Elephas maximus indicus: one gene and its partner. The protein of the gene in region 1 purifies or fractionates together with the protein of each later gene. This does not show direct contact. Links are inferred from orthologs where the notes say so. Each region holds a gene or a part of one and is shown on either strand. Other genes may lie near its edges.

Region 1 (7,574 bases):
ACCCAGGCTATGGACCCTGACTGCAGGTCAGTGACCTTTAAACTACACTAAATGATTCTATGAGAATCTTGGGAAAAGGAAGAAAAGGGGAAGAAAGGAGTGGGGCCAAGTGGCTGGCAAAATGTCCCAAATCAGCACATTATTCTCCATGGGGAGCATGGGTGTTCTTTGCCAGAATAAGTAATTGGCAAGTTGGGTATTTCTTTTATGGTCAACAACATTTATTGATCTTTTACTATTTGTAGGAAACAGAATATAAAGAGGTATGAGATACTATTACCAGTTGCCTTTGACTATGACACATCATGACTGCAGGTGTGTCAGAGTGGAACTGTGCTCCATAGGGTTTTCAAATGGTGATTTTTCAGAAGTAGATTACAAGGACTTTCTTCCAAGGCATGTCTGGGTGGACTTGAGCCTCCAACTTTTTGGTTAGCAGCCAAGCTCTTTAACTGTTTGCACCCCCAGGGACTCTGGACCTTATACTAAAATCTCTCAAAAACAATATGTGGTAGGCAGAATAATGGATCTCCAAAGGTGTCCAGTCCCTAATCCTTGGAATCTGTGAATATGTTACTTTACATGGCAGCAGGGACTTTGCAGATGTGACTAAGGTTACAGAATTTGAGCTAGAGAGATTATCCTGGATTATAACTGGGCTTAATCTAATCACACAAATCCTTAAAAGCAGAGAAACTTTCCCAGCTGTGGCCAGCGGGAGAAAGACTTTGGTTGGTTGAATCCGCAGATGCAGAACCCGCGGATATGAAGAGCCGACTGTAGTGGAGGTATTTCTCTAAAAACTGTACTAGACATCCAGTTGCATTGCTTTGGAACTGTTGTAAGAAGGATTCGACCCACTGTTGCTGGCATTAAAGATGGAGAAAACAGAATTGTGAATAAAAAAATGTGGATGGCCTCCAGAAGCTGGAAAAGGCAAGGAAATGGATTCTCCTCTATGGCCTCCAGAAAGAAACACAGCCCTGCCAACACCTTGATTTTAGCCCAGTCACACCCATGTTGGATTTCTGGCCTATAAAATTGTAAGACAATAGACTTGTGTTGTTTAAGCCACCAAGTTTGTGATAATTTGCTACTATGGAAGCAATAGAAAACTAATGCACGATGTAAAAAGAAAAAACATATATTTGGGAAATTCAGTACCCATAATCCAGATTCTCTAGGGCATACCAACCTGGGGATAGAGTCCCACGGACAGTAATAACTCAGGTTCCCTTGGGTTGGTTGCAGAATCTGTGATCTTTCTTAAAAGACTTCTTCCCGAGCTATCCCTGGGAGACCTTATAAATGTTCCATCAACTCAGTGCCCAGCTACTACATAGAGTCTAGGATTTTCTTACTCTGGTTTAGGTTCCCTCTGGTGATGTCTAATCTTCTCTCATTGGTTGAGAAGCCCCATTGAGGTGTCTGGTATTATTGCAGAGACTACTGATAACTCTACACCACAGCTGCCATCAAAGTTGCATTGTTCCTTTGTGCCAGTGCAAGCGGTCCAGGTAAGCCACAGGAGCCTGTGACGCTATCTTCTATTTATGGCCACTGCTGCCCTCCTGTGGTGAAGTTGGGATGTGTTTCATATAAACTTGAAATAATCCATCTGCCTTGCTTGTGTTAAATTCCTTTCCAACAGTTCCAAAGCAATGCAACCGGGTGTCTAGTACAGTTTTTAGAGAAATACCTCCACTACAGTTGGCCCTTCATATCCACGGGTTCTGCATCTGCGGATTCAACCAACCAAAGATCGAAAATATTCGGAAAAAAGATTTTTTGCAAAGAGTAAAACTTGAATTTGCCACTAGCCAAGCGCTAAGCCAAATCCAAGCGAATGCAGTGATGTGTAGGCGTACCCTGCTGTGGCCTCCCGTCATCTCACAGATCCTCAGTCTTTCTCCAGTGCTCGTTGTTGGAGCACTGTTCGTTCCTTCACTACTTGTATTGTGTGCACCCTTTGTTTCTGTGAAAAATGGCTCCTAGAAAGCAAAGGAGTGGTCAAAGCAGTCCCTCAAAGACGAAGTGTGAGGGGCTGAGGAGAAGGAGAAGAAGGAGCTGAAGGCTAGTAAGGGCTGGCTGGCTAGCTCTGGAAAGAGCTACAGCCTCAAGAACCTAAAGATCACGGGAGAATCTGCATGGACTCATGGCCAGGCAGAATCAGCATCCCCAGGAGAGCTCAAGAAACTCAGAGAAGAGAAAGGCTGCCTTCCAGAGCAAGTCTTCAATTGTGATGAAACAACTACCTGCATAGCATTTACTTTTTATTATTATTATTATAAGTGATCTAGGGGTGATTTAAAATATAGGGGAGGATGTGCATAGGTTATATGCAAATACTGTGCCATTTTGTATAAGGTTCTTGAGCATCCACAAATTTTGGTGTCCACGGGGGTCCTGGAACCAATCCCCCTCAGATACCAAGGAATGACTGTGGTTGTACCTACACTCTCCTCTGCCTAGGACTCGGTTATAAGTCACCAGCCCAGAGCTAAAGGACACAAAGAGTCCAACACATACCAAAACCCAAACTATTCTTAGTTATTGGGCAAAGCCTTCAAACTCTGTTCTTTTCCTTACAATGTAATTTCCCAAGGGAGATGCCATGCCTTATGGAAATAGATTGCAGAAGCCCAGCAGACTTCAGACTTCAAGCGGGAATCTGTCATCACAACCGCAGAAGCATACAAGTGAATGCACTAAGTAACACGCAAATGGAGGGCATTGCTATCGAATCTAGAGGCGAGCAGGATCTGGTAGTTAAAATTCCTGTGCAATAAACTGGAGAACGATGTGAGCCCCAGTGTGTATTTTAGTGGGACTTCCTACCGTTTAGTACTTAACATGGGCAGAGCAGATAATGGGCACTCAATAAACGTGTATGGAATTAATAGCAAGGCAGAAATAACCATGTGGCAGGTATGCTGGGACTGAAGCACTGCTGATGTTGAGTCAGAGAGCCAGAAATCTGAGATGGAAGTAGTAATTGAAATTGTAAGGGGATGAACACATGGAGAGAAAAGAGAAATGATAAATATCGGGCCACCTTGTTCATGAATATATGTGTGGGACTAGCCACAGATACATACCTCCTGTTTATATCTGCTATTTTAACCAGAACTCTCTGTATGGCATGTCCTCAGGTGGTTTTATGTCAGGACATTACTATTTCCACTGTTTTCTCTATCTCAGGAAAAAAATATATATATAAAATTGGAATTGCTCAATAACATTGGAGGGCAATTTTTTGTTTCTGCCTCTTTGTTATATTTTCCTTTTCAAAATTCTCGGTCCTAGAGACTGAAATTTCTATTGATATAATGGTTCCTTAACAATAGCCAGATTTTAAAAACAAAATCATGTGCATTACCTTTATTGACAGACTAACAAGTATCTAGTAATATGCTAGGGTGCCATGGGAATTAAAAAGATGAGTAAGTCACAGGCTCTTCCCTTAAAGAGATTGTGGTGCCTACAGAGGTAGAGTGGGAGATTAAATAATATAAAAAAGCTCACCTAAATTCCTTTGGCTTTTATTCATCAGTTCTAACACAAAAATGAAACTTCATTCTGTTTTAAAAGAGCTCTGAAGGAAATGAATATTTCAATGAAGGACACCATAAGGACTGAAGTACCTCAATCTCTAAATACTCCATATTACATTGCAGCGAATTTCCTTCTGTCCTAGTGAATTCCAGTTTCTGTTTGGTATGCTCTCAAGGCTGAACAAACTGGTCACCTATTCAAGTAATATATGACCTATAATTCTTTATCAGAACTTGTATAGATATGAATATCTAATTGGAATTCTTCCAGCTATGCATTTTCTTGAATGTTTCCTATAATTGTAAATTCCACGAGGAATTTACAAGAAGTAAATAACTTCTTTATTTACTACTATGTCCCCACAGGAGACAAGCACAAAATGGGTATTTAAAAAACATACGGTAAATGAATTGACGATTAATTACCTACTCCTGGGGTTTTCATTTCCATTTATTCCTTCTAAGTTCTCCATGTAGCAACGCTTGTACACCCAGCAAACGGATGGGGTGGACAATGTCCCTGTGGCGACTAGTGACCCTGAAGTTCTAAACCATTTTAAGCGCCAATGACGGTAGCTGCCATGGGATGGGACACGAGGTGGCGCTGTTGCCGTTTATAGCAGCTTTCCATTTTCACTTGGACTGGAGTCTCCTTTATACTGGACCACCTAGCAATCACTAGGGCAGGAAATTAGTATCTAGATCAGTTCTAAGTCCAGCTTTTATAGTTTCAGCAGAGGTTGCCCAACGGCTGGTGCTGCGAGTCCCGGAAACCCCGGTGCCCTTAGAGTTCCCTTGGTGGGGAGCCCGCCCAAACTCCATCCTTTAATGGCAGCCACGCCCCATAGTGGGAGGCGGGACTGAAAAGCATTTCCTTGAGGCTGGCACACCTTGCCCTACCCAAACCGCTCGTTTATTTCCGCCCCCCCCCCCGGCCGGTTCCATCCGAAACCAGAGTGACCGGAGGAGGGACACGGCAGTGAATACGGAGTTTGGGGGTATGAAGGATGGAAGGGGGACAGTAGTGATGGAGCTAGGGTTGGACATGGAAGCTGGAGAAGAAAAACGGGGAAGGCTGGGAGTGGGGCGGCTGTAATCAGCTCTTTGTATTTTGCGTGAACAAAGAGTAGTCACCAGGTGAATTAACCTGTATTTCTTTGGAACAAACATCTTGAGGTTTTTGGCATCTGTGCAGTTTGGCAAGGGAGCAGCAGTAAGCAAACCCATGATGAGGTGCTTCCATTATTCCCTGAGAGACAAGGAGAAATGAGGTAGAACAACGCAGGGAAAAGGAGTTACAAGACTACACAGTCTTTAGTATGTGTGGCTTTGGGCTCACTGGCTCTCGGTTTCGGCTTCCCCATTTGTACAGCAGAAATAATAATGTAATTACCTCATAGGGTTGTTGTGATATTTAAATGAGATAATATGTGTGACCAGGCTTTAAAAACTGTGGTGATATCCTGTTCCTTGATGGGAATTTTTGCTTTCTTCCTAATCTGTCTTCCCTTTTCCAATCTTTCTTTTCTCACTATTAAGCCTTCAACTTCATCCCCATTTTGTCTCTTTTCTTTGCCTTTCATTTCCCAGGTCATCTTCTGTGGTTGTTGCCTCCTCTGTAATGAATTCTATCCGGATCTGACTTTCTCATACATTTCAGACCAAGCTTTCTTCCCACTACCTAGTGTTAGCCATCAGGGTGGAAATAAAGGAAGTGAGCTTCTGCAACATACAGTGCCTGAAAGCAGAGCTTTGTAAAAAGTGCTGCTGGCCTGATTTATCCTCCTCAGGGCACCGGAATTTCCACTGACAGCCACATAAGGGGGTCATCCAGACCTTTTAATGAGTTATCATGAAATATTTGCTCAATGGCAATCTTACGCTTCTTCAGTGCCTCCACTACCAGGTATCTCGTTATGTACCCACTTGAATTTAGTCGAGCATTACATCTATTTCAGTCGTCTTCTGGAGAAGTTTTGTTTTCCCACCACCTCACATCCAGCCCCGCAAGCATGTGCTCCAGACTTCTACCGGGAGCTATGTGATTCTGCAGCTCTGTTTTGTTTTAACCTGAATGTATTAATTTGCCTTTGCTAGTGTGACAAATTATCACAAATTTAGTGGCTTAAAACAACACAAATTTATTATTTTACAATTCCGTAGTTAGAAGTTGGGAATGGGTCCCCTGGGGCTAAAACCAGGTGTTAGCAGGGCTTCTTTCCTTTCTGGAGGCTGTAGGGGAGAATCTGTTCACAGATGAAGAGGAATTTTGCCCCAGGATGGAATATGCCTAAAGGCTCACCCGTATATGATTTAAATGATACAGAAATGAGATTTTGGAGTTGGAGTTGATTTTAAGACTTTTGGGATAATGTGATGGGGTGAATGTGTTTTTCACGTGACAAGTACATGAATTTTTGGGGGCCAAATGGAGCCCTGGTGGTGCAGTAGTTAAGAGCTACAGGTACAAACCAAAAAGGTTGGTAGTTCGAATCTACCAGCTGCTCCTTGGAAATGCTATGGGGCAATTCAGTTCTAGCCTATAGGGTTGCTATGGGTTGGAATTGGCTCAATAGTAACAAGTTTTTTTTATTGTTTGTTTTTTCTTTTTTTGGTAAAAGGTAGAATGTTAGGGATTGGCTTGTGTCCCCCCAAAATATGTGTCAGCTCGGCTAGGCCACGATTTACGGTATTGTGTGGTTGTCCTCCATTTCGTGATCTAATTATGCTCCATCTTGTGATGTGTTGTAAATCCTAACCCATACCTGTAGTTATAATCCCGTTTGTGAATGGGTTGGTTGTTATATTAATGAGGCATGATTAGTTTATGTTTGTTATGTTAATGAGGTAGGATTAGGGTGTATCTTGAGTCAATCTATTTTTTAATATAAAAGATATTGAACAAGCAAGCTAAGTAGTACAAATGGGAGAAGAGAGATGCCAAGCCAGATGAAGATCATCTAGGAGCAGAAGCTCAGAAGAGACAAGGACCTTCCTTCAGAGCTGACAGAGAAAACCTTCTCCTAGAGCTGGCACCCTGAATTTAGACTTCTAGCTTCCTAAACTCTGAGATACTTGGAGTTGATTTAAGACTTTTGGGATAATATGATGAGGTGAATGTGTTTCACACGTGGCAAGGACATGAATTTTTGGAGGCCAAAGGGTGGGGTGTCATGTGTTGAATTGAGTCCCCCCAAATTTGTGTCAACTTGGCTAGGCCATGGTTCCCAGTATTGTGTGGTTGTTTCTCCATTTTATGATCTGATGTTATAAATCCTAGCCTCTATGCCTGTGATTATGGTCCCATTTGGAAGTGAGTTCTCCATTACGTTAATGAGGCATGACTGGGTTATGTTAATGAGGATAAGGGTGGGAGGTACCACCCTTGCTTGAGTCATATCTTTTATCTTACAAGAGATAAAAGGAGAGAGAAGTGAGCAAAGAGAGGAAGGACCGCCTACCACCAAGAAAGAAGAGTCAGAAGAGGAGTACATCCTTTGGATTCAGGGTCCCTGTGCTGAGAACCTCCTAGACTCAGGGGAAGATTGATGCCAAGACACATGGGGATCTCAAAGGAATGCGGGGCTCTCAGATGTTGAAAGGAGACAAGGACCTTCCATCAGGCAGAGAGAGAAAGAAGGCCTTCCCTTGGAGCTGGCGCCCTAAATTTGAACTTTTAGCCTCCTAAATTGTGAGAGAATAAATTTCTGTTTATTAAAGCCATCCACTTGTGGTATTTCTGTTGTAGCAGCACTAGATAACTAAGAAATAATTTGGTCCCTACAAGAGATGAAAGCAGAGAGAAGTAAGCACAGAGAGAGGGACCTGAATACCACCAAGAAAGAAGAGCCAGGCCAGGAGCAGAGTATATCCCTGCACCTCCTATACCTGGGGGAAGATTGATGCCAAAACATACGTAGATTTCCAAGGAATGCAGGGTCCACAGATGTTGAAAGGAGGCAAGAACCTTCCCTCAGAGCTGACAAAGAGAGAAAGTCTTCCCCTAGAACTGGCACCCTG
Region 2 (7,163 bases), on another chromosome or scaffold:
GACCACACTGTGTTTACCCGTCATCTATGAATGGACACTTGGGTTGTTTCCACCCTTTGGCTCCTGTAAACGGTGCTGCTGTGAACCTTGGTGTACAGGGATCTGTTTGCCTCCCTGCTTTCAACTAATGGTGACTTTTTAAGGGTGTTGGGTGCACAGTTTGCATTTGTGGTGAAGTTTAACTTGTTCTTGGAGGCTCTGTGTTCCTGGCAAGTGGAAGTAAGGTTTACAGCTACACCATCTGATATGGCAGCCTCTTGCCCCATTTGGCTATTTAAATCCACTGCCGTTGAATCCATTCCAACTCATAGCGACCCCGTAGGACTGTCTTAATTATCTAGGACTGCTATAACAGAAATACCACAAGTGGATGGCTTTAACAAACAGAAGTTTATTCTCTTACGGTCTAGGAGGCTGGAAGTCTGAATTCAGGGTACCAGCTCCGGGGCAAGACTTTCTCTCTCTGTCACCTCTGGAGGAAGGTCCTTGTCATCCATCTTCTCCTGGTCTAGGAGCTTCTCAGCACAGGAATCTCTGGTCCAGAAGACTCACTCTGCTCCTGGCACTACTTTCTTGGTGGTATGAGATCCCCCGTCTCTCTGCTCACTTCTCTCTTTTATATCTCAGAAGAGATTGGTTTAAAACACAACGTAATCTTGTAGATTGAGTCCTGCCTCATTAACATAACTGCCTCTAATCCTACTTCATTAACATCATAGAGGCAGAATTTACAACACACAGGAAAATCACATCAGATGACAAAATGGCGGCCAGCTACACAATACTGGGAATTATGGCCTAACCAAGTTGACACACATTTTGGGGGACACATTTCAATCCATGACAAGGACAGCGTGGAACTGCTCCATAGGGTTTCCAAAGCTGAAATCTTTATGGAAGCAGGCTGCCACATCTTTCTCCAGAGGGCTTAAACCACCGACCCTCTGGTTAGCAGCCGAGCGCTTGACCACTGCACCACCAGGGCTCCTTATATGGCTATTAAAACTTGAATTAAGTTAGAAAAAAATAAGTTACATTCAAAACTAAGCTCCTCAGTCACACTGGCCACATTTTGCAGGCTCAGGAGCCCCAGGTGGCCACTGATCTTATTGGCACTGGGCAGAGGCTTGACTGGCCTTCCCCGGAGGCCTGGCAGCTGTCCTCTGCCTCACATGCAAGGCCCCCAGCGCCCCACAGTGAGGCTGGGCTTCCTCTCCTCGTCAAGGGGATGCCCACCCAGTCTCTCCACTGGGAAAGACAATTTCTTCTCCCTTTATGATTTTTTTTTTTAATAAGCTGGGCATGATTCATAATTTTTTTTTCCTTTTATTGTGCTTCAAGTGCAAGTTTACAATTCAAATCAGTTTCTCAAACAAAAACTTATACACATTGTAATGTGACCCTAGTTGTTCTCCCTACAACATGACAGCACACCCTCCCTCTCCACTCTATTGATTCATAATAATTTTAAGGGGAAAAACAAAACCAGTTGCTTTCCAGTTGACCTGACTCATGGCGACCCCACATGTGTGAGTAGAGCTGTGCTCCACAAGGTTTTCAATGGCTGGTTTTTCAAAAGTAGATCACCAAGCCTCTCTTCTGAGGTGCCTCTGGGTGGATTTGAACCACCAACCTTTCAGTTAGTAGCTGAGCACTTAGCGAACACCTACTGTATGCCAGGCCCTGTACAAGGCCTGTGTAACAGGAAGAGAACAGCTTTGGCTTTCTTGTCTTTGTAGGGGAGGGCCCCATCCATCCGTCTGTCCATCTGTGTCCAGTGAGGAGGCACAGGTAATTATGAAATCAGCAGCTAGGTCTGGAAGGTTCTCTCCAGCCTCCAGGCCACAGCTGGAAAGTTTCCTCCCTCCCTGACAACTCCCCCACCCCCGCCCATGTCCCCACCTCTCTCAGGGGCCTCTGTGCCCATCACAGCGTGAAGCTCACTGTCAGGAGGCAGACATCACCTTGTCTGTCTCCCTGCCAGTCTCTCGGCCCACAGCCACTACTGTGAGCCCAGAGCCCAGCACAGGCCCTGGGAGTCTGAAAGTTCATTGCCCAGAACCCTTTCCGTTTTTCTTTTCAGGCCTGGGTGCCTAACCCAGAGTCCAGCTCTCCACTAAAACGTCTTTGCTTTCTGCCAGCCTGTCCCTCTCCTCCCCCTGCCCTTCCAGGCTTCCTGCTGTGGCCAAATCTGCCTTGCTTTGGGGCGCTTGAGCACCAGACACACAGTCCCTTGCCATCGAGTGGATTCAAACTCATAGCGACCTCGTAGGACAGAGCAGAACTGCCCCATAGGGTTTCCAAGGTTGTAAATCTTTACAGAAGCCAACTGCCACAGTCTCCCGCAGAGCGGCTGGTGGGTTCCAACTGCTGATGTTTCCGTTAGCAGCGGAGCTCTTAACCACTGCCTACCAGGGCTCCTCAGATACACAGTGCTATTGCTAGGTGCCCTGGAGTAGGTTCCAACTTCCAGCGACCCTGTGCGCAACAGAACGAAATACTGCCCCGGCCTGCGCTGCCCGCATGATCATTGTTAAGTTTGAGCCCATTGTTGCAGCCGCTGTTCGTCAATCCATTTTGTTGAGGTCTTCCTCTTTTTTGCTGACCCTCTACTTTACCAAGCATGATGTCCTTCTCTAGGGACTGATCCCTCCTGACCACATGTCCAAAGTATGTGAGACAAAGCCTCACCGTCCTTGCTTCCAAGGAGCACTCTGGTTGTACTTCTTCCAAGACAGACTTATTCATTCTTCTTGTAGTCCATGGTATATTCAATATTCCTAGCCAACACTGTAATTCAAAGGCGTTGCTTCTTCTGTCTTCCTTACTCATTGTCCAGCTTTCGCATGCATATGGGGCAAGTGAAAATATCATAGCTTGGGTCAGGCAGTCACCATAGTCTTCAACGTGACATCTTTGCTTTTTAACTCTTAAGAGTTTTTTTTTGTAGCAGATTTGCCCAATGCATTACGTTGTTTGATTTCCCGACTGCTGCTTCCATGGGTGTTATTTGTGAATTCAAATAAAATGAAATCCTTGAAAACGTCAATCTTTTCTCCATTTATCGTGATGGTGCTTATTGTTCCGTTGTGAGGATTTTTGTTTTCTTTATGAACACACAGTAAGCGATCCTCATTTACTTGGTGCAGTAATATACTCGGGTGCTAGGAGGCACCCAGCACCGGGCCCGGGGCCCCGTGGGCCGTCCAAGGCTGCGAGGCGCGGTCAGGAGTGGGGTGCTGGTGGAGGGGCAGGTACACGTCCCACTCCGAGGCAGCCAAGAGGAGCGCGTGTCCGCAGCTCGAACTCCTTCCTGGGTTTGGAGCACTTTGCAGTCGCCAGGTGCACACAGTTTGCAGCGGGACACACGCTGGTCCCGCCAGACCGGGCCGGGGGTCTGGGGAGCCAGGGTCTGACTGTGCAGGGGCGAGATGGACGCTGACGCAGCCCGACTCACAGAGGGAAAAACTAAGACAGTTGCAAGAGAGACCCCCCAACCCGAAATCTGGGAGCTCTTAAATCCGTGCATGCAGCAGGCATTCGATAAATACCCCCAGACGCGCACGGTTTCTAAGGACACAGGTGGCGGGGCATAGCCGGGCCCTGTCACTTCACGGGCAGGGTCCACTCTGGCTGGCTGCCGCCGTCCTGGAAAAGAAAATATGGAACGCTTCACGAATTTGCGTGTCATCCTTGCGCAGGGGCCATGCTAATCTTCTCTGTATCGTTCCAATTTTAGTATATGTGCTGCCGAAGCGAGCACAAGCAGGTGCCACCCCGAATCCCTATTTATAGGCTAAGACCAGATAACTTTTACAGTTATGCCTAACTATATACACGTTATATCTTAAGTATAATCTTCCACAGCCCTATATTAAACAATATCTCCCCTAGTTAAATTTACTTTGACTGTGTTTGATCACGTTAAAATCCTCAGACGTTAGCCTATTTTACCGCCCAAGCGTAGCCAGCAGCCGCGGAGCCTTATGGGGCACTATATGCAAAAATTCTGCTCGGATGCAGCCCCGCCCCCCGACGCCGCCGAGCGTAGCGGCCGAGCGACGGGGCGGGGCCGCCGCGGACGGTCCTCCGGCATCCCAGTGTGCCCCGCGGACGCCGGGGGCGCTCTTGCCCGGCGCAGCGACTCTCTGGCACCAGCAGGGCCGCGGCTGGACGAGGAGGCGGAAGATGGCGGCCGCGGCCGGGGGGTTGTAAGGATCGCGGCGACAGGCCGATGGCGGCCGGGGCGCGCCCTCGGGGATCCGCGGAGCGTTAGGGCGCGACGCTGGGCGGCATGTCGGAGCACGCGGCGCCCGGGGCCCCGGGGCCCGGGCCCAACGGCGGTGGCGGTGGCCCGGCCCCCGCGCGCGGGCCTCGCACCCCCAACCTGAACCCCAACCCGCTCATCAACGTGCGCGACCGGCTCTTCCACGCGCTGTTTTTCAAGATGGCAGTGACCTACTCGCGGCTTTTCCCGCCCGCCTTCCGCCGCCTCTTCGAATTCTTCGTGTTGCTCAAGGTGACCGCGGCCCCCGACCCCGACCCCTGACCCCGATCCCTTCGGCCGACCTGTGACCCCGACCCCTGATCCTCGCCGAGACGCCGAACCCCTCCTGCTCTGAGGCCTGGACCCCTGACTCCACGGATTCGGGACCCTCCCCCGAACCTGCGATCGCTGAGCCTAGTCGCTGACCCCAATTCCTGGGCCCCATCCTGGTCTGAGACTCCCACCCTGGAAGGCACGAGCCGCACCCTACAGGACCCCCCTGATCCCAACCCCAGAATTCTCACCCCGGCCCCGGCCTCCTAGGGGCCCCTTCCTGCCCTCCAACGCCTGGGGTCCTCAGCCTGGGAGGACGGCCCTCCCAATCACCATCCAGCCCTGACCTGCCCTAAACCCCAGTCCTGGACTTTGCCAGGAACCTGGTGCCTCAGGACACACCCCCGCCACCTTCGTCTCTTCTCCTGCCTGCACCCTGATGCCCTCTCCCTGGAGCCCGCAGGAGAATGTAGCTTAGTTAGGTCACTGGCCGGACTTAGTCGGAGTTATGTGGGCACCGCGCCTTTCTTGTGGAGTCCTGCTCCTGTGGGTCTGGTTGAACAGGCTCTCCTCCCTCCTTGCTGTCCAAGGCCCTGACCCTTTCCTGTCCCCCCTCCGATGGACAGAGGGCTCCGCTGTGAAGGCAGGTTCTGGGGACCACCATCGGTACTGAGAAGGCCAACTTACTTGGCAGATCCTGCTCAGCGGGAGCCACGGCCTGAGACCCGGAGCTGGCCCAGGTCGCTGAGCCACCCAGGCTGGAGCTCCAGGGGCGCTGCTTGAGCAGGGGATCTCGGTTGTCACTAGACATTTCTGAGGAAGCAACGAAATGGCCGTTTTCGTTTCCGTTGATGGCTGGTGGGTGAGGGGCTGACCCGAGGAGTCCACAGTGGACTCCAGTTGGGAGCTGCGGCTCTGGGGTTTGGTGAAAGAGGCTCATGGAGCCTTGTGGGTCGACAGACTTGGATGGGGTCCCAGCCGGGAGGAGGCACCCCAAGTTCTCCTATGTGAGATGGGACTCCTGTGACTGAGTATTGGTCAGTGGCATTTTGCCGTCAGGCCGACTGGCAGAGGCTCTTCTCAGGGTGTGTGGCTTCCTCAGGGAGGAGAACCCTGGCCCTGGGTTGACACTGAGGGTGGCTGGGGATCCAGACAGGACCCTCTGCCTCAGTGGCCGGAGCACTGAGCGTCCCCCGAGGTCATCCTCCCTGAAGACACATATGTGGCCCTGGCTGCATCACTTCCTGATTTGAGGTGTGTCAGAGGTCAGGGCTAATCTGTCTCACCTGTGTGCAAGGGGCTGAATGGAGCCAGGGCTGAAAGACCCCTGCCAGTGCCCAGACGTGCTCTGGCAGGGAGGCTTCGCGACCGTAGGCAGTCTCCTGACCCACCACCTCCTTTCGCCTGAGTGCTGGAATGCGTGGTTCTGTTCCTTGTGAACCCTTCCCCCGGCACCCGTGACCTGAAGGCTGTGCTGGGCTCCAGAAAGCTTCAGCCTCGTCTTCTTGCCCTCCCAGGGTCAGGCATGCTCGTTGCAGTGGCTGTGGCCTCCCTTTGCAGTCATGTCTTGCCGGGGGGTGGGCAGGCCTTGGGCAGTTTTTAGGAAACAGCCATACAGTGCCCACTGCTGGAGTGTGGGAGAGGTGGAGCCGGAGGGTCTGAGAAGACCCCTCTGCCCTCAGCCCCGACCCACCACTGGCCTCCACAGCTGTGGGGCCAGAGTGAGGTCGCTGGGTAAGCAGAGCAGTGGGCACTGGGAGGCAGGCTGGGAAAGACCTGCCAGGTGGCAAAGCATCCACGGTGCCCTGCGGCTCGGGCTGGCAGCATCAGGGACGGCTTCTTGGAGGAGGAGCGGGGAGAGTGTCAGCTGCTTGGGTTGGGCTCTGGACACACCATGAGCAGCAGACCAGCAGAAATCACCAGTGTCCTCTGGGGACAGCATCACCTGGTGAGAGCTGCTGCTGTCCCATTTTACAGGCGAGAAAACCATGCCTCATGGGGCAGGGCTGCTAGCCATAGGTGCAACCAGTCTGGGAGGTTCCCTGTGCTCTTGGTGGTCCCAGCTGACTGCCAGGCCTGGGCAGTGGGGACAGAGGGTGCCTGGCTCCACAGGGAGGTTTCTTTTTAGCCGGTGCCATCAGGGGAGCTCTGAGGCCAGTTGGAGTGGCTCAGGGAGTTGCAATAGGACCAGTGGGCTTCCTGGAGGTGGCAGCTCCTAGCCTAAGCCACTGCAGGACCGCAGACATTAAGTGGCGTTGGTATGCCCGGCTAGTGGGTTTCATCTGCTGGGGTCAGGCCCAGCCTGGTCTCTCCCTGGGTGGGGGGTCCTGCACAGTCCCCAAGAGGGTGCCATGGGACTTGTCTGGCTGCAGGCATTGGTGGGGTGGGGCTGTGTTGGGGCACCCCTCACCTCTGGCTCCACCCGGTCGGTACTCAGCTAATGTGTGAGGGGATGGCCAGGTGCTATTTGTGCTGCAGCCAGGAGCCACCCCACTTCTGAGGGTCTTCCCGGTCCGGGCCCTGCTGACGGGGTTCCTCCTGGGTTCCAGGCGGGATGGCGGGTCTCGGTGGCCCCCGCTGACCCTGTGCCCTTCCCAGGCCCTGCTGGTGCTGTCCGTCCTGG

What was found. The genes of interacting proteins can lie anywhere in the genome.
Region 2: the proteins of STYK1 (region 1) and TMEM259 purify together in Homo sapiens (affinity purification with mass spectrometry; 3 studies listed by BioGRID and IntAct, with this or other methods). This does not show direct contact. The link is inferred for Elephas maximus indicus from reciprocal best matches to the Homo sapiens genes STYK1 and TMEM259.

Annotation. Positions count from the first base shown.
Region 1 is NC_064822.1:69,424,341-69,431,914, reverse strand, and holds the start of STYK1 (tyrosine-protein kinase STYK1), read left to right. Parts: upstream 1-4,483; 5' UTR 4,484-4,552; intron 4,553-7,574. UniProt on the Homo sapiens protein: Probable tyrosine protein-kinase, which has strong transforming capabilities on a variety of cell lines. When overexpressed, it can also induce tumor cell invasion as well as metastasis in distant organs.
Region 2 is NC_064821.1:739,062-746,224, reverse strand, and holds the start of TMEM259 (membralin), read left to right. Parts: upstream 1-4,134; 5' UTR 4,135-4,294; coding exon 4,295-4,519; intron 4,520-7,138; coding exon 7,139-7,163. UniProt on the Homo sapiens protein: May have a role in the ERAD pathway required for clearance of misfolded proteins in the endoplasmic reticulum (ER). Promotes survival of motor neurons, probably by protecting against ER stress.